Linked DNA regions of Rattus norvegicus. The protein of the gene in region 1 interacts with the protein of each later gene in a pairwise test. Links are inferred from orthologs where the notes say so. Each region holds a gene or a part of one and is shown in the gene's direction. Other genes may lie near its edges. The genes, in order: Mbip, Txlnb, Ndel1, Plekhf2 and Bfsp2.

The links.
Region 2: the proteins of Mbip (region 1) and Txlnb interact in binary tests that used the Homo sapiens proteins (3 or more experiments, as listed by UniProt). The two-hybrid records come from large-scale screens. The link is inferred for Rattus norvegicus from reciprocal best matches to the Homo sapiens genes MBIP and TXLNB.
Region 3: the proteins of Mbip (region 1) and Ndel1 interact in binary tests that used the Homo sapiens proteins (3 or more experiments, as listed by UniProt). The two-hybrid records come from large-scale screens. The link is inferred for Rattus norvegicus from reciprocal best matches to the Homo sapiens genes MBIP and NDEL1.
Region 4: the proteins of Mbip (region 1) and Plekhf2 interact in binary tests that used the Homo sapiens proteins (3 or more experiments, as listed by UniProt). The two-hybrid records come from large-scale screens. The link is inferred for Rattus norvegicus from reciprocal best matches to the Homo sapiens genes MBIP and PLEKHF2.
Region 5: the proteins of Mbip (region 1) and Bfsp2 interact in binary tests that used the Homo sapiens proteins (3 or more experiments, as listed by UniProt). The two-hybrid records come from large-scale screens. The link is inferred for Rattus norvegicus from reciprocal best matches to the Homo sapiens genes MBIP and BFSP2.

The regions. Positions count from the first base shown.
Region 1 is NC_086024.1:79,552,564-79,558,218, reverse strand, and holds part of Mbip (MAP3K12-binding inhibitory protein 1), read left to right. Parts: intron 1-1,253; coding exon 1,254-1,373; intron 1,374-3,061; coding exon 3,062-3,280; intron 3,281-3,368; coding exon 3,369-3,465; intron 3,466-5,655. UniProt on the Homo sapiens protein: Inhibits the MAP3K12 activity to induce the activation of the JNK/SAPK pathway. Component of the ATAC complex, a complex with histone acetyltransferase activity on histones H3 and H4.
Region 2 is NC_086019.1:14,261,204-14,266,858, forward strand, and holds part of Txlnb (beta-taxilin), read left to right. Parts: exon of another isoform or gene 1-1,609; intron 1,610-1,669; coding exon 1,670-1,762; intron 1,763-4,724; coding exon 4,725-4,820; intron 4,821-5,655. UniProt on the Homo sapiens protein: Promotes motor nerve regeneration. May be involved in intracellular vesicle traffic.
Region 3 is NC_086028.1:54,057,959-54,064,270, reverse strand, and holds the start of Ndel1 (nuclear distribution protein nudE-like 1), read left to right. Parts: upstream 1-2,235; 5' UTR 2,236-2,276; intron 2,277-2,332; exon of another isoform or gene 2,333-2,858; intron 2,859-6,312. UniProt on the Homo sapiens protein: Required for organization of the cellular microtubule array and microtubule anchoring at the centrosome. May regulate microtubule organization at least in part by targeting the microtubule severing protein KATNA1 to the centrosome.
Region 4 is NC_086023.1:28,886,929-28,892,016, reverse strand, and holds the end of Plekhf2 (pleckstrin homology domain-containing family F member 2), read left to right. Parts: intron 1-1,039; 5' UTR 1,040-1,053; coding exon 1,054-1,803; 3' UTR 1,804-3,658; downstream 3,659-5,088. UniProt on the Homo sapiens protein: May play a role in early endosome fusion upstream of RAB5, hence regulating receptor trafficking and fluid-phase transport. Enhances cellular sensitivity to TNF-induced apoptosis.
Region 5 is NC_086026.1:112,938,268-112,944,447, reverse strand, and holds the start of Bfsp2 (phakinin), read left to right. Parts: upstream 1-2,201; 5' UTR 2,202-2,266; coding exon 2,267-2,758; intron 2,759-6,180.

The DNA.
Region 1 (5,655 bases):
GATCCCCTGACTGTAAATGCATGCTGATGGAGTACCTTTATACACAATAATAAATTCAGTTATCTTATTAATTAACCTTACTGTCAAATCTTAATTTAGTATAAGTTTGTCTTTGTCAGTATAGCCTGTGTAAAATTTTGTATTTCTTTATGTTTGCCAAATGTAGACTCAGATGCCTCTGGTCTCAGGCAGTAGGTCTCTATCCATTACTTATACAGTAGAGTGCTTAACAGAGGAACCTGAGATCTCTTTGGTTCCATGGACAGCGATTCATGTCTTGGTTTTTTATTCTTACAGCTCATTAAATTATATTTGAGCTCATGAAACATCTTTACTTTGTGGAAAATATGACTAAATTTTAATAAATTATTCTTACAAAATAAGTATAATTAACTTGCTTCCACTTGGATTGTGTCCAGAAAAGTTTATAGAGATTCCCTCATATTCAGTCAAATTATTACAGGTGGAAGCTTCTCCCTCTAAAATTTGACAGATTTTGATATTAATTTTATATTCAGTTCTTGGTAGTTTTCTAGATATACATTTGCCCTAATAAATCACTAGTTGATGAGAAATTTTCATGGTATGAGATATATCTTTCTAGAAAATCCTTAGGAAACATTGGGCATCCACTTTTGGCTTTGTTAACACTGCTGTGGGAAAGTACTTGTTTTTTTAACCTCAATAATTTCATAACTGATAATTAGATTTTTATTTGTAATTACTGTCATCTATCCCTATGTGTGAATAATCTTTAGTTTTAAATTTTTAATTGGTTAAATTTGAAAACAATAAGAGTGATTGAGAAGACATCAGGGTAATGACTTATTTTAGGCATGTGTTTGTGTGATACGTAACAAAGAGAATACTTTCTGGAAGGCAGTAGTTGATCTCCGTCTGTTGAATGCCTAGGATTCTGATTAGGGCAGACCTATTTTTGGATACCTTCCAAAGGTATTTAAGATATCAAAGTATCAAAAGAGGCTATGGCTTCTCAAAGATGGCCCTATTATACAGACGTAGAAACCAAATTAAAATAATAAGACATGTTTTTATCTTTTTTATTTTCAAAGCTGTGCCTTTTAGCTTTTTAAAATAGCAACTACAGAAAGCATTTTATTATGTCATTGAAACTTAGTAACTTGAGCAAAATAGGCATGCATTACTCTATAGAAATCTTATTTTTGTGATAATCCCAGATATATAGCTTAATCGTGTAATTTTTGTGATGTTGCTACTTTGCCTCTTTGAAGCTTAACCTCAGAGATGATGTGGTGAAAATTACAATCGATTGGAACAGGCTCCAGAGCCTCTCAACATCCCAGCCTGCACTGCTCCTTACTGCACTTGAACAACACGTTTTGTATTTACAGGTAAATTTCATATTAGAATGTTTACTGGATATTCAAAATAGAAATTAACTGTAGTTTAATTAGCTGGAGTATTTTTCAGTTCTACCTCAACATTCTGTTAACAATAACTGTTATTAGTAAAAGGTTGCAGAAATCCATATTGAGTCTAGGTCTGTTAATTTCACTAGTGATTGGGATAGTTATGAGAATATAGCCCAACAGACCGATGTGGGTTTGAGAGTGAATAAATGCAATTCTATTCAATTCTGGGCTTTGCTGAAAATTCAATACAGTTCATCTATGGTGGGTTATAATTAAGCAATAAGACGCGGCAGGTGTGAGTCATGCTATGATAATGATTCCATGCCTTGGGTGAGTTGGGAGGCTCATGGAGTGCTTTCAGTGGTTCAAGAAGTGGCATTATCCCAGCATGACACATCCTGGAGTGTCTATTGCAATTAAACAGTTTCAGCGTAGTTTTTAAAAAGAAAGTAATTTCTGTGACATTAATGTTTCATCTTAGTGAGTAGCCAGTCACTATTTCATCTTAATAATTTGAAATAATTTATCCTTTATTGGAAGTCAATATTGAATTATTTATCATGGTATTGTTACACTTTTAATATTTCAGCTTGAGAAACGAACAGTATTATAGCCTTGCTGCTGTTGTTGAACATCTCTGCAAGTGTAATTGATGTGAGTTAGAGCTTTTCTCTCATCAGGACAAGCAGAACTGTTTTTCCTGGTCACTTTACTGTGTCGAAGATGTTAGAAGATTTCAAAAGAGTACTTGGCATAGCAAACAATAGAAACAAAATTGTATGAAAAGATGATCAGGATATTGTTTAGAAATAATGTGTTAATTTTCAGCCCTGAATTCATTGACTTTCTGGGAACATTTAACTGTGTTTCATGATAAAAATAACAGTTAACAATTTGTCTAAAGGGCAGGTGATGAGCTATAGAACTCAAATGTGGACCATGTCAGGGTGGGGATGACGAGGAACAGTGGAAGTGAATTTCTATTATGAAGACATATTTTCCTTAAACCTACTGTAGTTGGAGTGATTTGTTTCCAGCTCTTTCTTCCTTTCTTTCTTCCTTTCTTTCCTTCCTTCTTCACTTCATGTGCATTTGCTCTTGTGAAGTTTCATTTCCTGACCCAATAAGATCCTTGCTATGTCAGAGAAGGCTGAGTGTTCACTCAGGGTAACACCTGGTATACTTCATATCCGTGCCCTCATTCATCGTGGCCCACTGTACTTTGAAGTGGAGAATCTCAGCGATGCAGTGATAATGCAGGGCTTTGCTGAGTGAGCACTGCTCTCCTGCTAAGGACGGAGAACACTCAAGCTAGTGTTCTGAATGACATGTTAATTAAGAGGCATCCAGGCCAGAGACTGAGGCTTTGATTTAGCACAAAATAAAAGATGAATGACAGAATGATTTCCTCAAAGAAAAATTTAAATGTCCTCAGGTTTTCTTTCTTGTCTTCTTTTTAAAAAATAATGTACAGCAAGCGATAAGGGCTATACAGTAGTAGAAAATAGCAAACCTGTGTGTGGTCAGACCTGCGGCGTGTCCTGTGTGCCACCAGCTTTTCATATTTAATAACTGGTAATACTCATTTATGTAGCAGCAGCTTATACAAACCTATCACTAGTTGAGATGAGTTTGAACCTGAGCAGATGTCACTGTGTTCTTTTCAGCCTTTTTTAGCAAAACTTCAGTCTTTAATTAAAGAGAATTCAACAGCTGCAGAACTAAGACAAACAGAAGCAGAGACCAAGAGTGAACTAAGAGCCAAACTTCCCACTGGGGACCTACAAGATGAAGGAAAGCTCAAAGACGATGATTTAGGGGATGTGAAAAAGACACAAATCCATTTTGATCCAGAAGTAGTTCAAATAAAGGCTGGAAAAGCGGAAGTAAGTTTGGGCTGGTACAAGGATCAGGGTAATATTACTTTTAAAAGTTCTGTTATGTTTAGATTGTTAAATTATTTGTTGTTTATAGATTGACAGACGAATATCTGCATTTATTGAGAGAAAACAAGCTGAAATCAATGAAAACAACGTCAGGGAATTTTGCAATGTTATTGATTGTAATCAAGGTAACTAGAAGTTTTTTTAAATAGAATTTTAAACATTTTGACAACTGATGTAATATTTTGTTTTAAAAATGCATAACAAAAACAAGATTCAGTCTTACAGGTTTTTAGTTGGTAATTAAGGCAGTAGAATTTTCCTTTATTTAGTGACGGGCCCTGTTGCCAAGCTGATTTTCATTTTGGTTACACAAAACATCAAGTGAAGGCCGAACTCTAGAGACAGATATTTACCACAAGTCCGAGAAGATCAAAGTTTCTTTAGAGAATGAAGGTGAAATGTTGGATGACAGAGTTGTTTAGATTTGCTGTTAGGAGAAGACAAAGGATTATGAACTTGAGGTCTGTAAATGTACCTGTGAAATTATGTTAATTCAGTGAGCCTAGTAGCAGTAATAGCATTCCTCAGGAGGGAGCAGTTTTCTCTTTACTCCTGAGTTTCATGATGCACCCAGCTTGTCACGAAGACCTGTGGAGCCCTAGGCCTTTCCCTTTTTCACATCGCATACCTTTGCTGTTTCTCCTCAGTCTCCTTGTCCTCTTCACTTGATGCTACAGTGTTTCCAGGTCTGCAGTATACCTACAGAATACCATATACTGTGTAGATTGCCATAGATCATAATCAGTTATCCTTGTAAAAAATTATGGAGAAAGGTTTGTAATTGGGCTGAACGTCTTATTGCCATTAATATCTCTTAGTGATTATAAACATAAAATTGCCCATTGAACCTGGAAGTGACTCAGAATCACATTGATATGTGATGCTCTTAACATAATAATGTGGGCTCACTGCAGATGCTAAGTTAAACTCTTCTACTGTTAACTTGTGTGGATCTCTAGACTTAGCTCTTTATAGCAGGTGTAGCAGTGGCAGAATCTCAGGTGTGGCAATCCAGTTGTACGCACTTCAAGAAAAGAGTTTGCTGAGGGAGCAAGGACATGTGTCACTAATGTTACTCCTCTCTTCCTTCTGCTAACTCCATTATTATAAACCACCAGGGGATAGACGTTGACAAGAACTGAAATGCTCAGCAGGATTCCTTAGCCCATTCAGTCCCTTGCTGGCTCAAAACAGTGCTGCCTGAGTTGCTGTGGAGAGGGACTGGCACTCATGCATTCCCTGTCCCCACACTGCCACATTGCTCTCTGATGGCTCTGTGCATTTGGAATAGAGCCCTGGAATGGATGATAGCTTTTTAAAAAAATCCTTAGACCAATGAAAGAATAGAAAGAGTAAAGACGTCTAGACCCGTTGAAGATATTTTGAGGTGTTTCCAAGGAAAAGAAAATGAGTGTTTAATCTTTAAATATAAAAGATCAAGTAGGTTTGCAATTTTATTTATAGTTCAATTTATCACAGATCCGTTAAAACTTAAACTTAAGAAATATATTTTTGTGTTTAAATACATGTATTGGTGTTTTTTTATAAGACCTTTAAGTTGGTGTAAGAAAAAAATTGATTTTAAAAAAATCAAATTTTGTGAAATAACAAAGGACTTAAATTCATTTTACATCCTTTTTTTTTACAAAGTAATATGAGAATTTAACAAAAAATTTACAGCCAATGTATAGCTTTACTGTTACTTCAAGCATTAATCTGTATTTCTATGTTACTATATTATATAATGTGTTCATGTATAACAATTATGCTAATATTTAATAGTATAGATTATATTAACATATGTCTAATTTTTTATAAATTATTTGTTGATACATAATTTGGAAGAAATTGTAGTTTTCACCTTGCTACAATTATTAGAAACATTTTTACAACATATTTTTCCCAAAAATCACAGTTTTTAAAAAGTAGGATTAAAAGGAGTAGATGCCTTTTCCTTAGTAATTTTCAAGTTCGTGTTGTACTTGAGGTTTCATTGTATATTGTACTTAAGGTTTCAGGGTCTTTTTTAAATGTAGAGTTCTAAGATAAAAATGTATAAAATATACAATTAATCCTTCTGTTACATGATCATGTTATTTAGTAATAACAAGTACACTGAAAAACTTAAGATAATTTGGTAAATTGGGTTCTATTTGTGTGATAGAGTTAGAGTATGGTGCTATATAATATATGAATTATATAATGGTTCTTAGTAATAACTAATTTTCATTAAAGATTATCAGAAGTTATGCCACTTAATGGTAATAGTTTTTATATGTAAATCTGAACATTAACGAAAAATATTACATGTGGTC
Region 2 (5,655 bases), on another chromosome or scaffold:
GAGCCAGTGTCATGTGGAAGAAAGAAATCAAGGTTCTTCCCCTCGTATTGTTACAAGAGTGGGGCCGGTTTGCTTGATCCTAAGCCTTTAACCTCTGAACTCTCACTTCAGCCCAAGGAGCCCAGATTTGAGTTCCCTACTGCACTCGCCCTATGCCTTCCGTCGAGGTTTGTCTGTTGTATAGCCTGAATCTGAAAGCAGTCTTCTGAATGGCAGCAGTGTGTCTGTGTCTGTCCCTAACAAAGGACTTGTTTTCGTCTTTTATCGAGCAGCACAGAGAGCATCACATGGGAAAGGAACAGATACTTTAAGGGAATCTTTAACAGAGTCTTACAGGGGATTAAGTCACTGACTCCAACTGACCCCAACAGAGTCAGATAACAAACTAACACATACTATCAAGCAATATTCAAATGCCCCTTCCAATATTTATGGGAGACATTTACTTATAAGATTGCTTTTGAGCTCTATCTGCTGATTTTAGCAAATGTGTATCGTAACACATGCACAAAGATTCCTGCATTGCTCTTGGGTCAGAGGCATAATTTAAGATTATAGCTATTCATTAGCTTAGGTTGTAAACGTGGACCACAGAGAAAATCCAAGGCAAGTGACTTAGTAATTTGTATTGATTACCCCATAGTCAAGTTGTCATTGCGTTTGTCTTCCCATTAGGCGTACGAGTCCCTCAAAAGCAGGACTCACACGTTAAATAAATACCTTTCTATAAGTGGTACTTACTTATGTTCAGTGACCAATAAATATTTGTGAAAGTTATGATATAATAAAGCTGTAACTTATATTCTATAATTTTATTGTTCTTTAAAAACATTTTAGGCGACACTAAGTGGACTTGATACGTTTTTAAGAAAAGATAGGAGACAAGAAGTTGACAGGGGTGGGGGTGTGTGTGGAGAGAGATGGTTCAGTGGTTAGAGCACTTGTTGCTCTCGTAGAGGACCCGAGTTCAGTTCCCAGCATCCACATGGCTGCTCACAAAAAAAAAAAAAGAAGTTGACAGAGAAGAACTGCTGAGAGAAATAAGGGAGAAACTGGAGGGGAGGGAATGATAGCGGATTTGATCAGAACACTATATATATATATATATATATATATATATACATATATATATATATGCAGTTCTCAAAAAAAGGAGACGAAGGAAAGAAGGAAGAAAACAAGCATGTTGTGGGTACAAAGATGGTTGATGAGTATAGTGCTTGTCACAAAAGCCTAAGGACCTGAGTCTGAATCCTTAGCACCCAGGTAAAGGACAGGTGTGGTGACACATGCCTATAAATACAGCACAAAGAGCTAGACAGAGACAGGGAGATCCCTGGACCTTACTGGCCAGTCAGTACAGCTGAAATGTCAAGTTTTAGGTTCACCGAGACACCTTTCAAATGGTAAGGTGGAGAGCTATAGGAGAAGGCATTTAAAGACAGACAGACACGATGTTTTAATGAAGAATTTTAATTATGTTCACCAACCTAGGTTGACCTTGTAGTATATAAAATAACTAAACATATTCCTGTACCAGCAATAACTTTAATTCATTTTTCTTCTCAAATAATGAACAGCGACTTGTTGGGTTTTTGTTTTGTTTTGTTTTTTTTCTGGAAGCAATCTGAGAGCAGCCCCAAAGATATACTCTTTTTTTTCTTTACAGCTTACTCTCTACTCGGGAAGGTTTGAGGAGTTCCAGAGTACACTGACAAAAAGTAATGAAGTGTTTGCCACTTTCAAGCAGGAAATGGATAATGTGAGTATGGCCTCTCCACGAAGAGTGGCCATCTTTGTTTTGACAGGCAGGTCTTTGCATTCCTTTCTCTCTGGCTAAGATACTCCAGTGCATTTCATGATGCAATGCAATTTGTATAGGCAGGAGTGAGGCTTTCAGTGGAATTTTGTCTTTTTAAAAAAATTCCAGTAAACAAATCTGATCAATGGTCCCTAAATACTAGGATACATTTTTCACTAAGACGACTAACATTTTTCTTCTTGTTAGCAAACTTTTATAAAAGCTAGCATTAAGTGCAAACACCTAACCCTCGTATGGTTAAAAAAAATTAAACCTAAAGATACAACATTAGAGTTGATAGACTCTTGTGCATTACAATTGATGAAGCCCTGCATAAGAAGACGGAAAAGTAAGCTCAAATTCTGCATTTATAACTATTCATCAAGGACCCTTGGGCCATTTATGTACTTCTCTTGAGTTTTATTTTGTTTATCTATAAACTGATTTTTTTTCATAACTCACAAAACCATAAATAAACTAACACATCGAAAGTTTTTGCAAGTCTTTCATAATTAAAAGGTACAAATAATGTCAATGGACATAGCATTGGCATTTCATTCAGTGCAGTATCTTCCTAATAGAAAATCAGTGTCAACACTCTGCCTCTGTGGGCAGAGGGTGAAAGAACTTGCTGTAGTGACCCTGATGACCCAGTTAGATCCCTGGAACCATGTGAGAAGCTGTATGGGGATGAGAGACATCCATGCTCTTAGAACCCCTCTAGCACAGGGAAACCAGAAGCGGTAGAATAGTCCAGAAGCTCCAGGACCAGTTGGCCTAGCATAGGAAGTACCTTGATGGGCCAAAAGACACCCTGCCTCAAAACAAGGTGCACAAAGATAATTGATCCCTAAATGTTGTCTGCTGACTTCTACAAGTACAGCACAACATAGGCATGTCCACAGGCACATCTACATACACACATGTAAATACACACACACACATACACACACATACACACATATACACACATACACACACATACATACACACATACACACACATACACACACATACACACACATGCACACAATACACACATACACACACACAGACATAAACACACACAGACATACACATACACATACACACATTGTGTTTCTGAACAAGCACTGGCATTAATTATAAGTGTAGGGAGCACCTTTCAAAATATATTTTAGTGAGATAATGAAACTTTTACACTAATATTTGTTAAGTTAGTTTTCTTGGTTCTGAAGAGTTAATTTTTAAAATTTTATTTCAAAATTTTAAATCAAGGGATATTAAATCAAGTGCTCTTCATCTGGAATTTATTTATGGATATTAGTTAGCCCAAGAATTCCGTGGCTAATATACAACAACAAAAAACTGGGATGCATGTTTGTGTAACCCTGAATATGGTCCTCTATCTTGTATCAATTTTTTTTTTTTTGTCTGTGATTTTTTTTTTTTTTATTAACTTGAGTATTTCTTATATACATTTCAAGTGTTATTCCCTTTCCCCGTTTCCGGGCAAACATCCCCCTCCCCCTCCCCTTCCTTATGGGTGTTCCCCTCCCAACCCTCCCCCCATTGCCGCCCTCCCCCCATAGTCTAGTTCACTGGGGGTTCAGACTTAGCAGGACCCAGGGCTTCCCCTTCCACTGGTGCTCTTACTAGGATATTCATTGCTACCTATGGGGTCAGAGTCCAGGGTCAGTCCATGTATAGTCTTTAGGTAGTGGCTTAGTCCCTGGAAGCTCTGGTTGCTTGACATTGTTGTACTTTTGTATCAAATTATTAAACTTAACTTCTTAAACTTTACAAATGCCTGATCTAGTTAACATGTGATCCAAACAAAAAAAAATCCATCTAGCTCCTTTTAGAGCAAAAAATGATAGTCTGGGCTCAGCCTCTGGCCTCAGTGTGTACCTCAAACAGCTTTGCTCAAGAAACAAGCACATAGCCAGGCATGAAGGCACACACCTTTAATCCCAGCACTCAGGAAGCAGAGGGAAGCAGACCTCTGTGAGTTCCAAGACAGCGGGCTCTACATAGAAAGTTCAGTCTGGCCAGGGTTACAGAAGAAAACCTTGTCTCAAGATACCTGAAATAAAAATAAAAAAGAAGGTCCCCAGCTCCAAAAAAAAAGAACCAAATAAATAAATAAATAAAAAAGAAGCAAGCACCTAGGTGTGGCTCATGAAAGGACATACCTGATTAAGAGCCTTACCCTTCAACTCACACAATCAGAGAAGAGATCCTACAATAAATAAAACAGAGTAAGAATGTAACCCACATTCATAGTCTGGTGACAAAGAGGCACCATTTTTGGTAGAAAACGAGGTATCGCTAGCCTGACTTTTGTTAATCCACTTAGACATTAATACACATCCTTGACCCTCAGTTTCCTCATTTATAAAATGGGGATGAAAACGGAGTGTTTCTCATGGGGCTGTCTCAGAGATGACATGAATGTGTAACCATCAGCTCCTGTGAGCTCACCTTCACCCTATAAACATGAATAAAGAGAAGGTGGCAAGCAGCTTCTGTGTGCACACCAATTATTACCTGCAGCGAAATGCCCCAAAGCAATCTCAGCTCTCTCACCACCAGGGCCTTCTATTTGAACAAGTAAATTATCTAAATTACAAGCTTGTTTATGGATCTCAGTAAGGAATATTTTTTTATTTATTTTAAGTGAAAGAAAAGTCAGCAACAACACAGTGTTCTCCTAAGTAGTTTCTTCCGTCCTGAATTGGCTCCGGTGCAAACCGGTTTGTTCGTTGCCAATCCAGGAAATAAATCATTCCTCTTCCACAATCTTCATTGTTGATGTTGTACATTTGTTTGCTTCAGCAGCTGGTAGCAAAAGGATTGTGCTGGGTGTCATATGTGGAACTAATTGCTTCCTTGATACGTCAGCTCTTCAGGGTTAAACACTGAAACACTCTAATTTCTGTAGACGACAAAGAAAATGAAGAAGCTGGAGAAGGACACGGCCACATGGAAAGCCCGATTTGAGAATTGTAACAAAGCCCTGCTGGACATGATCGAAGAGGTGAGGAAGCTCTTCCTTCCCTGACCCTGGTGAAATAATCAATATAACCCAACGGTGTAAGTGATTATGTCTGAAAATATGCTGAATTTCAAGGGTGACATGATGTATTAAAATGTAGTAGAAAGAATAAGATCAAGAGTTATTTAGAAATCTAAGGAAGAATGAAAGATCTTTGAGAACCTTAGTCACGGGATTATAAGGTAGAAAGCTGACCCCAGAGGGGTGCTATGCCTTCTGGACTATAAAGGCTTTGATGACATTCTTACTTGATCTCAAACGTCTACTGTTTGACATCCAGCAAATACACTGAATGCATTGACTTGACTGTGCTAAGAGAGGACACCAGCGGACATAGGCTATTTTACAGACAGATATGAAGAAATCTTTTTAAAAACTCCTCCAACAGGTATTAGACAGCTGGTGTTACGCCAGGACCTATACAGGTTTTGCAACTCCAAAGGTGAAGGTTTATAGGCTCTGACTTAGGTGGCTGACCCTACAAGGGAAGATCCCTTCCTGTTAATGAGTAAAAAGGGTCTTAAAGATACAGGGTAGCTAGGGTGGCAATCAGTAGTGGGGTGATTAGGATCAGGTCCCTGTTCACTCACATCGACTGCTATTACCAGAGAGAAGAACTGAACAGTTCAAGCAGCCAACATCGTGAATCGGTATGTGGGGAGTTTCTGTGGTTAGAATTACCACTTTAACTATTCATTCCAAGTTGCAACCAATTCCCAAGACATGTTCATGAGTCATCAACACGCATCAGATGGCTGCTGGGATTAGCATATAGCAGTTCTATCAAGAAGACATATTTCCTAGAGTACATAATGCC
Region 3 (6,312 bases), on another chromosome or scaffold:
GAGAAAAATGTTTCGTTAGATCCAGCTGTAAAGAACTTTTAATTAGTGATTGAAGGGGGAGGGCCCAGCCCATTATGGCTGGTTCCATCCCTGGGTTGGTGGTCCTGGATTCTGTAAGAAAGCATGCTGAGCAAACCATGGGAAGCAAGCCAGTAAGCACTACTCCCCTTCCAGTCCCCAAGCCCACATGGCCTTTGCATCACCTTCTAGTCCAGGTTCCCGCCCTGTTTTGAGTTCCTGTCCTGACTTTCCTTTGGTGTTGAACAGTGATATTGAAGTGTAAGCTGAATAAACCCTTCCCCCAACAACTTGCTTTTTGGTGTTTCATTGCAGCAGTAGAACCTTAACTAAAACAATTACCTTTTTTGGGTATGAGATGGGCCAAAGTCCAGCATTTTCACTAGCTGGAGTTTGGACCCAGATCTCTCTTTTGGTAGCTGATCACACATTAACCATTGGAAGGATAGAACTTGATCTGTTTCTTGTATTTTGTAGCAGGGAAGATGTTGTGGGTGCTTACACGTGTTCTCAGAGACTGTTACATTGAACTTTCTGGTACATTGAACAGTCCAAAAAGTACTGGAACCTATGGAAAGTACTCTGGAATGCTACATCAGGTTGGAAGCATATGGCAGTCCTCACCTTACCAAGCTGGTTTTATAACTTGTGCTTCCTTTTGAGACTGTCATCTTCTTTACTGATTTATTCCGTATGGATTTGGCATAATGGAAGGAGGTGGGGCAGTTTGCTGACTCGTACCTTATTCTAGCCCCTGGGCCAATGATGAAGATCAAAGCAGGGCCTTTGGGTTCTGAGGGCTCTGCCAAACTAAGCCCATTCATTAAGAAGGGAATGATGCCAGTCCTAGGCCAGAGCAAATGGGAGGGGCAGCAGCCTGGGAGATGATGTCAATGTTTTCTGAAGGGCCTGGCCAGCCATTAGGTGACTCAGTGTGTTTCTTAGCACCTCAGCCAGGAGGCAGGACAGAAGCTGCAGCCTTTATCTTTTCCTATTTGGGTGGGACTGTTCTGTCTTGGCACTGGGTCTATAGGAAAGCCTTCATTAATCACTTCCTTGCCTGAAATCTGATTAGACTGAGCACAGCTCCAAGTAGGGAAGGCAGACTGAGTTTCAAAGCTGTTCGAGGCCTCTGGCCTGGAAAGTAGACCTCTTTTGAGTCTTACTTTACAATATAGATCTAATGATTCCAGCCTCAAATGTTGAGGGTTAATGGTAGCGTATTGAAAGCACTTTAGCCCCATGGTCTAGCCTATGTTTCCCTTCTTGTCATCGTAGTAGTGGATAATAATAGTATAGCTTCTGAATTTGAATTCGCGCTGTAGTTGAGTGACCTTGGGAAACTTCATCTTGCCGTTTCTTATTTGTAATTGAGAGTAACCTGGGGTTACTGTGATGAAGCAATGCAGACCAGTGACTGGTACAACCCTGGGCACAACAAACCGCACAGTGAACTCATAATCATTTTTTAAAACCCTAACTCCTTCATTGTGTAGTTCAAGGTGATTTAGACCCTACCAATCTTCCTCTGCTCATCAATTTAGGTTCTCCTTAAAAAATCCACCTTACACTGTTTTTGTTTATATTTACCTTTCCTAAAAGTATACGTGGGCTTCTTCAGCTCACCTTTTTTAGGCTTAGCGTGTTTTATGCTATGTTGTTTTGTTTTCAAACCTCAAAACCAAGCCCAACAGCACTGAAATTAGAATTACACTTAGCATGAGACAGCAAAAATCCCTAAAATTGTTCCCCAAATGCCTTTTCTTCATTTACGTTTCTACTCCCAGGACAGTTGCGCATATTTCCTGTCTCCTTCTTGAGTTCCCTTACGCCTTCATACTTGCCTTCCTCTTAGCGTAGGGAACTACTCTCGCCAACAGCACAGCTTCCGGAAACCCCAGAGGGCTAAAAACCCACCCTTAGGGTGCCCCGGGCGGCGCCTGCGCAGGACGTTGTCGCAGGCCTGACGTCAGCGCGCAGGGCCTGGGTCGGCTCCCTGTGACGCTTGCCTCCCATGGCTCCTCCCCCCCGCCTGCTTCTGCGCATGCTCTCGACTCCACCCCCGTGCGTCACAGAATGGCTTCCGACACCCAGGGAGCCCCTGACGTGTCGGGGAGGAGCCCAGCGCGGAGGTACGCGGAGTGGAGCTCAGGGCTGCGGAAGGGAGCAGAGCTGAGAGGCTGGGCGGGCCTGGCCAGGCCAGCGGAGCAGAGACGTCGGCCGAGCGGCGGCGAACATGCGCTTTTGACACATTGGCGGTGAGCTCCCGTGTGAGGCAGCCTCTGGGGTCGAGCCGAGTGGGCAGCGCCGAGGCCTGCCCCTGGGGAGCCTGCCTGACCGCGGGGCTGTGGCTCAGGGCCCGGTGGGCCAGGCCGGGCTTGGGTTCTGGGGCGGCCGGTACGGAAACAACTGTTCCAACCGCTCTAACTGCCCCTTCCTTACTGTCGGAGGTGTGGCCCACTGGGGGCACCTGCAGGAGAGCGAGTGCGGGGCTTCCAGAGGAGGGACGGAGGCCGGGACGTGGCAACCGGGACTGACGGCTCGAGGAGTGGCCCAGTTGGGGTGGCAGCGGCGCGCCCAGCGTCTTGCTCCACCCACCCTGAATTCCCCGGAGCTGCCCGGGTGGTTAGGAGCAGGGTTGGATCTTGATTTCCCAGCGCCCCATATGCGGGAGGGGAGAGCGGGAGCAGCACGCGTTGGCAGAGACTGGTAGTCTCGTGACTGTCTGCCCCGGACTGCTAATCATCTGCTTTGGAGTTGGGGAAAGTATCACCAACCAACTCCGGTTGCTTGGGTTCTCCTTTTTCTCTGGGAAACGATGAGGTGACTAACCCTTTAAGGCGAGTGAGGGTTCTTTTCATTATTTAGGGTTTATTCCTGTAGCGTTTATAAACATTTTAGAACATTTGTTGTTTGCACTTGTAACGGATACTGTAAGTCACTGTTTGGAGTGTGGGGAAATTGAGCCTAGGTACAAGGGGGTGGGGGCAATTGTGATTTTTTTTTTTTAACTTGAGTTCCACTAACTGGTGAGAAGTTTAGCTTGGATCACAATTTACCTTTCTCAGCTTAGGGTTCTGGTTTCAGTTTTCATGAAATTTTTATACCTTCTTCAGCCAGAAAGAGGACTGAGCATTGTACTTGTCAAAAGATAATACCCGAAGTTACTAGATTACTTATCTATTTACCAGTAAATGGACCAGAAATCAGCTCAGTTATTAGAAAAATCTTACCCTGAAGCTTGCTCATGAGTGGTTGTTTGTTAGTCTGAAAATTGTGTTGTTTTCACTGCGTTTAAGAGATAGGGTTAGTGTCTGCCAAATCAGAAAGGTGAAGGGCAAAGCCCAGCATTAAGCTGAGGAGTCAGTCAAAGGAGGCCAAAGGGCACCCAGTAGGGGTATCTCTTCTGGATTGTTAACATCTTTATTTAGAGTAGAAATGCATAAAGAACAAAGAAAACCTTTAGCCCCAGTTAGAAACAGACTTAATCTTAGAAGTTGCTAAATCTGCAGTGCCTTTGCTTTGAGTGAGATAAATTGAAGTTGGATACAGAAAAAATAGACCTGAATATGCTTTCATGAGACCAACAAAATTTATTTTCATTTGGATTTTAAAGCATGGTAAAATAAACTCAAGGATTGATGACTTAAGTTAAAATTACTTTCTAGGCACTTCATAAGGGAGAAAAATGATAAGACCTATTTCATTCTGCATATGTTAATAGCCTATCATGTAAAATTAATTTTCTTAGTGCTGTACAGAGTGTCTTTGCCAGTAAGGTATGTTAGATGATAACTGTCTAAAGTTTAAGTGAGCTAATTGCCAGTTCACATCTAAAGGTCATATAGAGTGTGATAATGTCTGGTGCAGAAGTTGTAATTTTAGACTCATACCCCATACTTGTCTGCCTGTATTGCAGCTTCAGAAGATTGTAGATGTGCCATTTGAGCACTTTTTAAAAGCAGTGAAAAATTTGACATTGGCTAACTTTCCCCACTTACGTAATCTCAGGTGATAGTGAATACAATCTCTCAGTGTACCTGGAGGCAAACTCCACACACAGTCTTCACAGTCGCAGACAGCTTTGAGATCATGCAACGATAGCACATTCGTTATTTAAACCTGGCTTTTAGAAGGATAAAGTTGATGAATAGGTGTAGTGGGGTAAAGCTGGGTACTGCCAGGTAGGTGTGACGGAAGGGTAAGAACTCCTGCTTGTTCTAGTCTAGCTCACAAAGCTTATTCCAGGAGAGATGTGAGAGCCTTTTGTAATGGAACGATTTGAGGAATCACGTGTTTTTAAATTTGGAAGTCTGCTCTCTAACTTTAAAGGCCCACTCTGGCATACTAGATTCTTACAATTGAATTAACATTTATGCTGTGTTTATGCATCAGGCTCTGTTACGAATGCTGTGCCAATAGTAATTCACTTCATCTTCAAAACACAACTAATTTTCCTGTTTTATAGGTGAGAAAATGAGGCACTGAGAAGTTGAATAGCTTGCCCTAGGTCTCCCAGCAAGGGCATAGTTTGACTCTAGGGTCTGGGCTTTTAAGCACTTTGCATGCTGAATTTTCTGGCTTGATTCATTTTCTTTTAAAAACTTATTTCTGTGTGTGAGTGTGTGCTCACATGTATGTGGGTGGCTGTAGAGGTCATAAGAAGAGCTAGAGGTGGAGAGGGAGTTCCCTGTGTGGTGCAGGGGACCATAATCTAGTCTTCTGCAAGAGTGCTGAACCACTGAACCACCCTTTCAGTCCTTCAATGTCCACAGAGACAGGAGGCACCTGAATCCCTGGAGCTGGAGCTGTCTAGATGGTTGTGAGCCTGCCTGATGTGGGTGCTCTTAACCTCAGAACCATCTCTATTCCCATGAATTTTTTTTTTAAATCTTTTTTCTTTTTTGAAAAAGTCTTGTGTAGCCTAAACTGAGCCTCCAACCTGCCATGTAGTCAAGGATGACCTTGGTCCTGTTCTTTCTACCTACTGAAGGCTGGGACTACAGATGTGCTGCACCACTGGTTTGTGCAGTGCTGGGGATTGAACTCAGGGCTTCATGCATGCTATGCTAGGCAAGTACTTTACCAGCTGAGTCACATCCTTAGCCTCCTGTGACTTACTCCTCTCTCTCTCTCTCTCTCTCTGTGTGTGTGTGTGTGTGTGTGTGTGTGTGTGTGTGTGTGTGTGTGTGTATAGCTTCTGGCTGACAGAGAACTGAAAGAACTGGCTATGTAAGCAAGCCTGGCCTGACGTTCATGTTGCTCCCCCTGCTCTCTGGGTCCTTTTACCCCTGTCTGTTCAGTGCTGGGATTACACCTGAGCTTGTTCCCTGGCTTCCACATACAAGTGCACACATCATGCCAATCTGCACACACTACACACATACATCTATTCTTCTTCATGAACATATACACAGATGCACACAAAATACTATAAAGGAGTATATAGCTTTAGGTAGTTAGTCTAGATTGTATATTGTAAAGAGCTAGAAGGATTTTGAAAGTTTTCACTAGAGAGAATTGATAATCAGTGGAGGAGGTAAATATATTTAACCCTACTTAAGTAGTGTGTAGTGTATTTATATATTGAACATTACATGGTACTCTTTTTTTTATTCTTTTCTTTTCTATTTTTCGGAGCTGGGGACCGAACCCAGGGCCTTGCGCTTGCTAGGCAAGTGCTCTACCACTGAGCTAAATCCCCAACCCCATGGTACTCTTTTAATATGTGTAACATTTTACATTTTTTTGTGTGTAAACTAAAAAATATGAAAAAATTCTCAAGAACCAAAAGCTGGAGAAAATGCATAGTTTACAGTATATGTGGAAGTATTCTTTCCCAGGGACCATTTCTGAGCTAAGAGAGCTGCCAGTAGGTCCCTTTATATTGTAAAACCAGTGTCTAAGCAACAAAAGCCACCTCTACTTTCATAAAGAAAAGTGAGTGGACAAATTTATAGATAAAACGGATTCTGACCATATTTGTAGAAGAATTGTTTTTTTTTTTTTTTTTTTTGTTCTTTTTTTTTTTTTGGAGCTGGGGACCGAACCCAGGGCCTTGCGCTTCCTAGGTAAGCGCTCTACCACTGAGCTAAATCCCCAGCCCCAGAAGAATTGGTTATAAGAACCTCCTAAAGTTCAACAAAAAATATTTAGGAGCCTGAAATGGCTGCTAAATAGGGTAAACTATCCACTTGGGAAAGAACAAGGCTAAGATGCTATCAACAGAGTCTACCAAGATCAGCCAGAGTGTAAAAATGGAGAACACAGGCTTGTTTACCAAATCCTGGAAGC
Region 4 (5,088 bases), on another chromosome or scaffold:
CTGGAATTCGTTCCCAAGATCATGTTAAAGATGGCAATTAGATGATCTCTTTTAGGCTTCACTGCAGCCAGTGGTGGGCATGGATTTCAGTCCTTTGGTAAAGAAGTGGGACAAACATGGAGGATGGTTTTTTGTTGCCATTAGGTGTGTTAGAGGAGAGATGCTAACTACGATTTGAAGGGTGATTAAGAGGTAGCTGGAGTTATAAGTTGTAAGGAAAACAGTGAAATCCACTTACACAGAGTAATGTTTGCTTCAAATGCTGTGTTTTAGGCAAGGAATGACTTAGGTTGAGGTGAAGAGAAGTCCAGTAATAGCTGGATGCGGTGACAAATGCCTATTGTTCTGGTACTCAGGAGTCTGAGGTAGGGCATGGCAAGTCAGGACCAGCTTGGGCTGAATAGTATAAGAGCCAATCTCAAAAACAAAACAGTTAAAACCAAAAGCCAACCTTACACATGATGCTAACGGTTACAGATTTTAAAGATCCAGGGAATCACTTCAAGTGACAGCAGGAACAACCAAGCATTTTAGAGATGGCTGCCTACACATTGACTCAGGAGGTGAGGCTGGCAGCAGTTGGGAGAGCATTGGGGGAATCCAGGTGAGGACATTAGGGCCGAGGCTCCGGAGTTATGGGCGGCTTCTTGGGAAAGCTGGAGTTGTGGGTTTTAAGTGTTCTTTGGATTCTGTTCTCCAGAATCCCGCTGAGGTTCAGTTTCATGGAGCCAGGTTATCTTGTGGAATTAACTTGTTTTTGATTGTCCCGTTGTTTTACTTGTGCAGGGTATAAATGACCCACACTGTGATCTCACTTGAAGTAGAGGCAGGAGGACTGTGTTCTAGGCCTACCGGGGCTGCCCGGGAAGACTCAGCAGGTTTTACGCACAGTTTAGCATGTTAGTGATTATTTTAGAAGGAAAGAAAACAAGATTACTTGCCTTTGGAAAAATCAGTGCCTTGGTAGATGACATTTTGTTAATCCCTTATAGGAATGTATACTTTGCGTGTGCTGATTTCTTTTCTTTTTCCCCTAAAGGTTATTAGCAAAAGATGGTGGATCGCCTGGCGAACAGTGAAGCAAACACCAGACGCATAAGTATTGTGGAGAGCTGTTTCGGGGCAGCCGGTCAGCCCTTGACCATCCCTGGGCGGGTGCTTATTGGAGAAGGAGTATTGACTAAGCTGTGCAGAAAGAAGCCGAAAGCAAGGCAGTTTTTCTTATTTAATGATATTCTTGTATACGGCAATATTGTTATCCAGAAGAAAAAATACAACAAACAACACATTATTCCCTTGGAAAATGTCACCATTGATTCTATCAAAGATGAAGGGGAATTACGGAATGGATGGCTTATTAAGACACCGACTAAGTCGTTTGCAGTTTATGCTGCCACTGCCACGGAGAAGTCAGAGTGGATGAACCACATAAATAAGTGTGTCAGTGATTTACTCTCCAAAAGTGGGAAGACGCCTAGCAACGAGCACGCTGCTGTCTGGGTTCCCGACTCGGAGGCCACCGTGTGCATGCGCTGTCAGAAAGCAAAGTTCACACCAGTGAATCGGCGGCACCATTGCCGCAAATGTGGCTTTGTTGTTTGTGGTCCCTGCTCTGAAAAGAGATTTCTCCTTCCCAGCCAGTCTTCTAAGCCTGTGCGGATTTGTGACTTCTGCTATGACCTGCTTTCCACGGGGGACATGGCCGCGTGTCAGCCGACTAGATCAGACTCTTACAGTCAGTCGTTGAAGTCTCCTTTAAATGACGCATCTGATGACGACGATGACGATGATAGCAGTGACTGAGGACATGCTGTGAAGTATTTAATTGACTGTCTGAGAATCAGCTTTGGGGGAAGTGTAAAACTCCTGGCTCCCTCAGTTTTGCTCTCGCCAGGACTGCCCGAGAAGGTCTTACTTACTCTCTGTGCCTGTATCCTGTAGAAAGCATCCGATAGGGGCTTGGCTTTCTACTCCTTATTTCTAGATGATTTTCTTGTAAGTTGGAAAGATGTTTATTTAACAGATCTTGTATCACATTTCCCCCTGATTTGGAAAAACTAAAAGCACAGAATGGTGGGAACCTCGACATCTGTGGCTTTTCCCCAAGCATTCTATGTAATGGTTAAGACACCAGTGACACAACATGGGTTGGAAATTCCTCATTACTTCTCTTTTCTCAATACCGAGTGGTGCCTTACTGTGGCAGCATTGTCACTGAAATCAACGTACACCCTACCTTCTTACTTCTTTGATGCATTTAAACACACTGGTGCTCTTACAGGTGGAAAATGAATGTTTGATCAATGTAGGTGAGAATATTTATTTGACAGCTACCAGGAACTAAATTTTGAGGTATCTCCTTATATAAATACATATTTTTCATAAAATAGTTGCAATTATATTTTTATGTCTTTTAGGCACCAAATGATAATGGTCACTTGTATGCTTAAAGCTAGCCAGATGCCACTCTTTGGAATTTGATTTGAAATTCATCACTAGTTAGAAGTGGCGTATTCCACTGGCTTTCACTTTCCTAAGATATTTTTACATAGAACTATTTGCTTTACATTATTTCCTAAAGGAAAAATCTGAGGAAACCCCTATTTTTCCCACACAGGGTTTCTCTGTGTAGCTTTGCTTGTCCTGGAACTCGATGTTGACCAGGCTGGCCTTGAATTCTCAGAAATCATCTGCCTTTGCCTCCCCAGGCACCACTACCACCTGGCAAAAATGAAAAGTTTTTAGAAAATTCTCACAGTAGAACATGGAATCATACAGATCTGGAAGAGATCAGAGTTTGACTAGATTTCCTGTCTGCAAGCATTGTCAATTTTTTTGTGTGAAATTATCTTGATTTACAGGTGGTGTTGTATTTTACAGAGTTTATGAAGCCCCAAACAATTTTTATTTTTGTAAAACAATTGTATGTTTAATCTGTTTCTGAAATCATTTCACGGTATATGGAGATAGAGTAGCAGTTGATATTTCTAGATTGCAGCATCGATGAGGTTGCTTTGAGAACTGGTAGTTGCTCTCTTTATGTTTGGAGACGGCTGTTGGGCTGTGGGCCTGCTCTCTGCACAGCGCTCTCTGCACAGCACTGGCCATGCTGTGCACATTCTGGCCATTGGCGTGCTGCAGTAACTAGGTTTTCAAATGTGGGAAACCAGCAGGCAGAAAGGTTTTTGTTTTTGTTTTTGTTTTGTTTTTTCCAGAGTTCTTTTCAAACTCCACCCCCTTTTCAAAATTTAAAACATAATTCTGCAGATGCCCTGGAGTTTGATTCAGTACCGTGTGAATGGAAGAGTCATTGTTACTTCGCCGTGTGGTTACAGTACTAATCTTACTTTTCTGTTCAGATCTGAAAGTGTGTGGCTGTATGGGTCTGTCTCCCTGCAGGAAATGAGGAAAGCACAGTAGAGCATGGCCTGGGGGCTCCGTTCCTGCTTTTTGTCTTGGTTGGTTTTACTGTCAAATGGAATTTTGTTTCAGAGCAGCACATATGTGTAGTCAGTAAGCGTGTTTGAAAGGACCATAAAAATCAGAGAAATGCTGGTGGAAACTTGCAAATTCAGGAACCAAGGGGAAATGTCCTGAGATAACATTTGCATTGTTGACCTTTGTTGATTGTTTTTACAGTAAAAATATTTTGCAGCTTGTTTCCTGTGTTTTTATACTGTAACTAGAAGATGTTCTTCCTTTTCTCACTGAGATATTATGCGTAGTCCCACCTTCTTATTATTAGCTGTGGATGCCCAGCATGTAGGCACTGATGGGGAGTTGGGGTTTTTGATGATAGGGTCTCATTTAGACCAATCTGGCCTCAAATTCACTATGTACCAATAAAGTACGAAGCTGAGAATTCCCTTGAGCTGATCCTCCTGCCTCCGTGTCCTGAGTACTAGATTAGCAGGCTGGGCTGACACCTTGTTTACTGAGCACTGGGTCTGGAAGTGAGGTCTTCTAGGTAAGCACCCCACCAGCTGAGCCACACTCCAGCCCTGTCCTCTCCAGGACAGGCTAATGCGGGATTGGCAGAATCGCTTCCCAGATCTTTTTTTTTTTCTTTTTTTGATTTGGAAACCCCTATTTATTGATCCTCAAACCCAATTCAAAGCTATGCACAAGGTGTCCAGGCCTTTGACCTCGAGGCCACGGCTGCACTTGCCGAAGGCTTGCCTGCCTCTCCGCTCCATTCTGCTTGCTAAGACGCTTTCGACCTCCAAAGACTGCACGGGTGATCGTCATCAGATACGGGGAAACCAGGAAAAACCAAAGTTTCTCCGTAGGCGGAGGTGAGCCCCACAGCCAGTCCAATGCCAGATCCCGGTAACAGGGTTTTCTCTCTTACCGTTGGGTAGGATCCTAGGAGCCTTATTGCTCCATGAAATGACCATTCCTGTAACACTTGTGAGCAGCCACAATGTGGTAAAAATGGCCGGTTGGTGCAGCCACCCAAAGCAAGGTGTATGCTTAGGTGGCCTCTCCTAGATGCAGGCTCTGCAGACCGGGGTGTGTCGGTGAGCCGGCTGCTCTAGGCTGCCCCCTCTTGGTAACTCCTAACATCTTAGTTTCCGGAAGGTAGAACGACCAGGGAGATTGGGTGGCTCGCACTGCCCCCTTTGCTATCCAGTTTTATTAAGTAATCCACATTAAAATGGTAGTTGAAAAGCTTTGGTGATACAAGTTTATTGGGGGAAAAAAAAGAATTTACCACTTTACCAGGCGTTTGTGCGTGTGCCTGTGAGTTTGTTTGGAGAAAATATAATTGTGTGCCTTTGTTAACTTACCAATTTTATTTGAAACATTCTCCATTTTACCTACCTGCAATTAATCTGTTTTGAGATGTTCGGTTCAATGAGTCATAGTCATTAAAGCTGTCAACTATGTGACACTTTATCATGCCCTGCCCCTGAGGCACTCCATGATTACTGCTCGATCCCCTGGCCTTAGGCAACCACGGTCTGTCTGTTTTTGCCCTTTTGGGGGTTGAAGGGAACCCATTTAGTTTACTAATGATCTCATGGTTCATTTGTATAGCGTTAATGAACACTTAACATTCTTATTACCAAATAACTTTTTCAGTTA
Region 5 (6,180 bases), on another chromosome or scaffold:
CCACCTGGATTAGGAGGCTGTTACCATAACTCAGTCCCCAGTGCATCATGGACGCTGCAGAAGTGGTATTCATAGGAAGACCACTACATCTATGTAAGCTACAGTGCATAAGCTACTGGCCTTTACTTGGTTCAGTTGGCTCCTTAATCTGTTAACCAGATAAACACTGATATTTAATCTTGTGTCTCCCAAGAGGTAGGGAGGTGCCTCAGTATAAGTACCTTACAGTCATGAAGATCCAAGTTTGATCCCCAGAACCCAGGTACAAAATCTGGGTGTGGTGACACAGGCTTCTAGCACTGGGTAGGCACCAGGTAGGCAGAACCAGATCCCTGGGGTTCACTGGCCTGCAAGTCTATCCTAATTGGTGAGTCCCAGACCAACAAGAGACCCTGTCTCAGACAAGAAGGTAGATAGCCTTTGAGGATGGCTGTAAAGCTAATCTATGACCTCCACACAAGACAAAAGTAACAAGGTCCCTCTTACATTGTCTTACATCCTACTAAACAGAAGGAGGAGAGAGGTTGCAATTTTCATGAAGACTAGGGAATAAAACACAAAGTTCTAGCAGATGAGCAGCCCATGTGACCCTGGTGAGTGGTAGCTGCTAGAAACAGCCTTATACACCCCTGGATTAAAGAGACCTCAGCTCTCTACATTCTGGACAAGGACCCCGGGATCTCTTATCACAAAGAGAAATATTGCATCTATGAGCTAACACTTCTGAAATTGCACATGATGTACCCCGAACAGCAGTGCATGTCGGTGCTATATTTTCCCAATTCTAAAGTTTAATTGAAAAAAAAATCAGAGAATGGAATTGTGCTCAGAATTGAGTATCTACCAGATACTCAATTGGTACCTACCAGAAATTGATTTCTGTCCCTGTCTCTTGCCTGGGGTCAACCCTCATCAACCCTCCCATTACAGGACCAAGGAGTCCACGGTCCATCTCTGGACCTAGGGTGTATGGTTTCAATACACTAAAACCTCACCTGGCACATGGCTTTTTAGGACCATGTCCTGCTCAGGCTGGAGGGACCATTCTACCCCCGAGAAGTGACTGGCATCTAACCATTGACAGTGTGACTTGGAGGATGCCAAAGATAAGGAGTAAAACCTGGGATGCCTGCTCACAACTCTGTCACTCCCGTTCCAGGGGATCTGACACCCTCGCACATATATGCATGCGGTTAAATCACCAATGTACATAAAAATAAGATAAAAATCCTTGGGTGCTGAGGAAACCCTAACTTGGATAGGAAACCCCTTTGTTGTTTTCCCTTCTTGGTCTTATTAAAGGGTGAGACAGAGGTGAAAGGGAAACCAGAGCCAACAGCTGCCCAGCAAGCAGCTCAGGTCCTAAACTCACTCCTGAGCGTCTGCTGTGTCAGAGTTAGCAATCGAGCAGCATGTACAACAAGGTCGAGAGGACGAGAAACAAGGCCAACAGCCAGCAGCTGACAAGCACAGTGTCAGAGGGCAGACATGGCGGGGAGGGAAGAACGGAGCTGAAAGGGGCCTGGAACAGCTGCCAGACCCGAAGGGAGAAAGCATGAGCAGGCTTGCTTCGTTTTCCTTGGGCCTCTGGGGCTGCCTTCCTCCGTGGCTGGGCTGGCTCATGCACACATTCGTACATGAAGGGATAAGGCCAGTCCTGTAAACCGCCCTGGGGCTCTTGCATGGAGTCTCAGCTTGTAGTGTGAGATCTGGAGATCAGAACGCTTGTCTTCTAAGGTTCTGTAGCCCGATTCCTCACCAGTGAAATAGGGACAGCTTGTTGCCCACCTGACCTCTCTGTGGTAGTAACATACTCATCAAGGCCAAAGACTGAGGTTCAGAGAGTATGCATGAGGCCCGATTCTGTCACAGGAATTGGAGGCAGAAGGATCAAAAGTTTAAAGTCTTCCTGGCTACATAAGGATTTTGAGGCCCACCTACGATAGAGACACTATCTAAAAAGAAATAGGCAAACCTAGATGACCCATTCCCACAGGCAGCACTGCTCTACCCCCAACCCCAGAAAAGTCTGGATGTCTGGGCACATGACCCAGCAACAGAGAATGCCTGTGTGCCTCTCACAGGCTGGTAGGGCGCTTCTCTTCCAGCTCAATGAATGCCAGAAACTCGTGGAAGGCAGTAGACAAAGAGCTCGGGGACAGGGGAGCTTCCAGAGAGGCCCGTGACCAGGCCATGGGGATGCTGGGGCGGCAACCAAAAGCCACTGGACCGTGTGAACCTGCCATGCACCACAGAGGCAGTGAGAATGAGCGAGAGGAGAGTAGCAATGGACTTGCCCTCAGGATCCAACGCCAGCATGCCCCTGCAAAGGCACAGGGTGTCATCCCTTAGGGGAACACGATCTCCTTCCTCCCTGGATAGCCCCCCAGCATCCAGGACCAGTGCTGTAGGTAGCCTCGTCCGTGCCCCTGGGGTCTATGTAGGAGTAGCACCCAGTGGTGGCATAGGTGGCCTCGGTGCCCGAGTGACCCGCCGGGCCCTGGGCATCAGCAGTGTCTTCCTGCAGGGCCTGCGGAGCTCAGGCCTTGCCACTGCACCTGCTCCAGGCCCAGAAAGGAATCACGCCACTGCTGAGGACCTGGGGGGCTGCCTAGTGGAGTATATGACCAAGGTGCACGCTCTGGAACAAGTCAGCCAGGAGCTGGAGACACAACTACGGGCTCACTTGGAGAGCAAGGCCAAGCGCTCCGGAGGCTGGGATGCCCTCCGTGCCTCCTGGGCCAGCAGCTACCAGCAGGTAAGTCCTCCAGCTGTGCCTGGAGGTTTACTAGAGGTCTGAGAGAGGATGGTGAAGGTAGTGAAGATGGCGCAGAATCAGAGGCCAGGGAAGCGGACCACTTGCATACCAAAGCTGCTGGTGGTCTAAGATTAATACTGGTGAGTTGCCATTCACTGAGGCTGACCAGGAGCCAGGACCACCCAGGCATAATGTACACCCGACGCACACCAAAAACACCCCAACAACGTTCTGCAACCAATCTCTCACTGTGTATACTTTTCAGATGAGAAACCCAAGTTGTGTACAAGGTCCCAGGCCATAAGCAAATAGAGCAGCGATTCTCAACCTGTGGGTCACAGCCCCTTTAGGGGTCACATGCAGATATCCTGCATATCAGATGTTTCTGTTCTGGTTCATAACGGTAGCAAGATCACAGTTGTGAAGTAGCAACAAAATAATTTTATGGCTGGGGGCCACCACAACATGAGGAATTACTGTATTAAACGGTCCCAGCATTAGGAAGGTTGAGAACCACTATAATGGAGATGCAGCAGATTATGTGACCCTGGATTTCCCTTCCTCAAAGTTGCACTTGTCCTATTATCTGGGACTGCCTCCGTCACCGTTAGTGCAAAGGGTTTTCAAGCCTTCACAGAACCCAATACCATTGGATGGATGTGCTATTTTAAATGGTGACTAAATAAATGGGGGGTCTCCTATATCCAGATAAAATGAGTATATGGGATCAGTGGGAATATGGACCATACAAGTAATTTTCAATTTCCTATTACCTATGGTGTGTGTGTGTGTGTGTGTGTGTGTGTGTGTGTGTGTGTGTGTATAAACAAGTGAATTTGGTGTTAATATTTTGTTTGACTCAATAAGGAAAAAGATTATTTCAGTATGAAATCAATACAGAAATACGAGCACAACAGTTCTGACTCAGATAGACCCTTATGGAGGATGGAAATGTCTTACAGTCTTGGCCATCGGTTATGTGGCTTCTCCTGGGCAGACATGGACAAATGCATTTTGCCCCAGGCAGGGCACTACCAACAATCAAATATTTTACCCAAGTCTAGCTTAGTACCAATGAGTTTATCGGGGTTACTTACCAAAGTTGAGTATGATTGTATCAAAGGAGACTGCACCCCTGAAAAGCGCACGGGCAAGACTCATGAAAGCTATACCCCAAGAGCTCCCTGCCCAATTTGCAGGTAGCGCTAAAGAAGAGCCTCCCCTCCCCACAAGGGTTTATTGCATATATAATGGGGGAGGGCGTGACTCTTACAAGGCTCTAAGCCTTCTAAGTTTCCTCAAACTTCCTGGATCTTAGGATCCACCCTCCTCCCTCCCCTTCCATTCAAAAAATTGCTACATCACACCATCCATGGCAACAGAGTCCTTGGAATGTGGCCTTTGAGACTGAGCACTTGACACTTTGTTCTACCCGGATTTTGTTCCTTCAGATCACCACCTACAGCCGACAGTCATCTTGCTGGGCAGGGGTGTGGCAGCCTCCTTTCCCTGTCACCTGGTCAGAGTTGCTTTTTTGTTCCCTGAAATAATTTCCATAGAACTCTAAGCTCATCTACCAATTGCGCCTGCAAGCTCTGGTTCTAAGACTAGAACACACACCCCACCCCCCAGGCATTGTCCATCTCAGCTCCGGGGGTAGCTGGCTCTGCCTTCTTCCCTGAATGTTGGCCTTGGGATGACTGTGAACTAAATCAGTCTCTATTCCAGAAGTAGCCAAGTCCCATTTGCTCCCTGGAGTCAGATATGTAGACTGAGAGGAGGTCAACGAGTGGCCTACGTGTGGTTGGGTGATACCAACAGAGGCACACATGGAGGCCCCCATTTCAGCCCGTGATGCTTCTCCTTCACTGTTCTCAGCAGCCCATAGAGAAGGGAATACAATACTGTCCTTCTGGCCAGTGCAGCTGTTCTGTCCACACTCCTCTGAGTTGTGAGGGAGAGCCTCAAACATTCAGGGCTTTACAGCCTGTACAAGAGGCAGCCACTCCTCTGGGAGTCCCCACGGCTATCTTGAATTCAAATATGTGTGGCACACTAACCCCTAGAACATGCCATATATTTCATCTCAGCAGCATCTGCTGGACAACATGATACTCAGATGCCATGCACATACATGTACCAGGAGGCACCAGGCATCTCAATGTCGAGGTTAGAGAGTTCAGATACAAAGTCCAGTAAGCAGATATCGAAAGTGGCTCCAGAAGCCGAACGTGCGGATATCGGGACCGGACACAGAAGCTTCTGCAATGTGTGAGCCTCAGTTTCTCATCTATGACCCGGATTTAATAATGTCTACATAATCCAACAGCTCTATAACCTGTAGACTTGAGAGCTATAAAAACATTTCAACAGAACAGCCATGAAGAACAGCCATCACAACGTCAGCTTCTGCCCCTAGTGGTCAAATCCAGAATGACAGCCATTTTCCTCTAAAGCATTTACCAGTGAACTACTAGAACAGACGCTTCCCCTTCCTCCTCCCCGTTCTCCTGGATTCCTCAGCCTTAAAACCACTTAGGCCCTTTCTCCCTCAGCAGTGAAAAGAAGTGGAGAAATACCCAGGTGGTGGCCTCTGAGATCAAAGAGGACCCTGCCGGCTCCTGGTCCAGCAGGAGGTGGCCCTGTGTTTCCCTGCACTGTGCTCCTGACTTCCTATCACGTGGACGATGCCAATAACTGGCTCTGTTCGATGCTGCATCAGATCCTTTTGTCCTCAGACACGAGCTTGCACGGAGAGACCTCCTGTTGCACAGCTGCAGATAAACCAGCAGAGGAGCATCCTGTGTAGTGAATGTCAGTGCACAAGGAGGGAGCTGAGCCAGGCAGGGGGAGGGAGAAACTGCCCAGGCTAGGGATGGGGACGTGGAGCACTAGAACTTTATGTGGGAAAGGATACCGGGATCTCCACAGGGAGAAGACAAACAGAAATCAAAATCGCTGAAAGGCCAGAGGATCAGGGTTCTCAATGGGCTTGTCCTGGACCTGTTTTCTCTTCCTGGGAAAGCCGGCCTATACTCTGGAATTTCATCTGTTTGGGGAAACTGCTAGCAGCCTGGGGGTGCCCTTTAGGGCCCAGTTCTCTTGCTGTGGAAGCTGTGGGGCTGGTGTTACAACCACACAGAGAACTAATCTCACCCACCGGGTGAGAAGGGCAAGAGGGTCAGCACGGAGACTGATCGTACTGTCTCTGGAAGGAGGCTAGAGGGGCAGGACAGAACTCTGAGCTGTTTTAAAATCTACAAATGCCTAACTGTATTTTCCGAGGGAAAGAAATGCCATTGTTTATTTCCTTTTCTTGTTTAATGTGTACACGTGTGTGTGTGTGTGTGTGTGTGTGTGTGTGTGTGTGTGTGTGTGTGTGTTGTTTAGTTGTTGATACAGGGTCCTGGCTACAGTGGCAA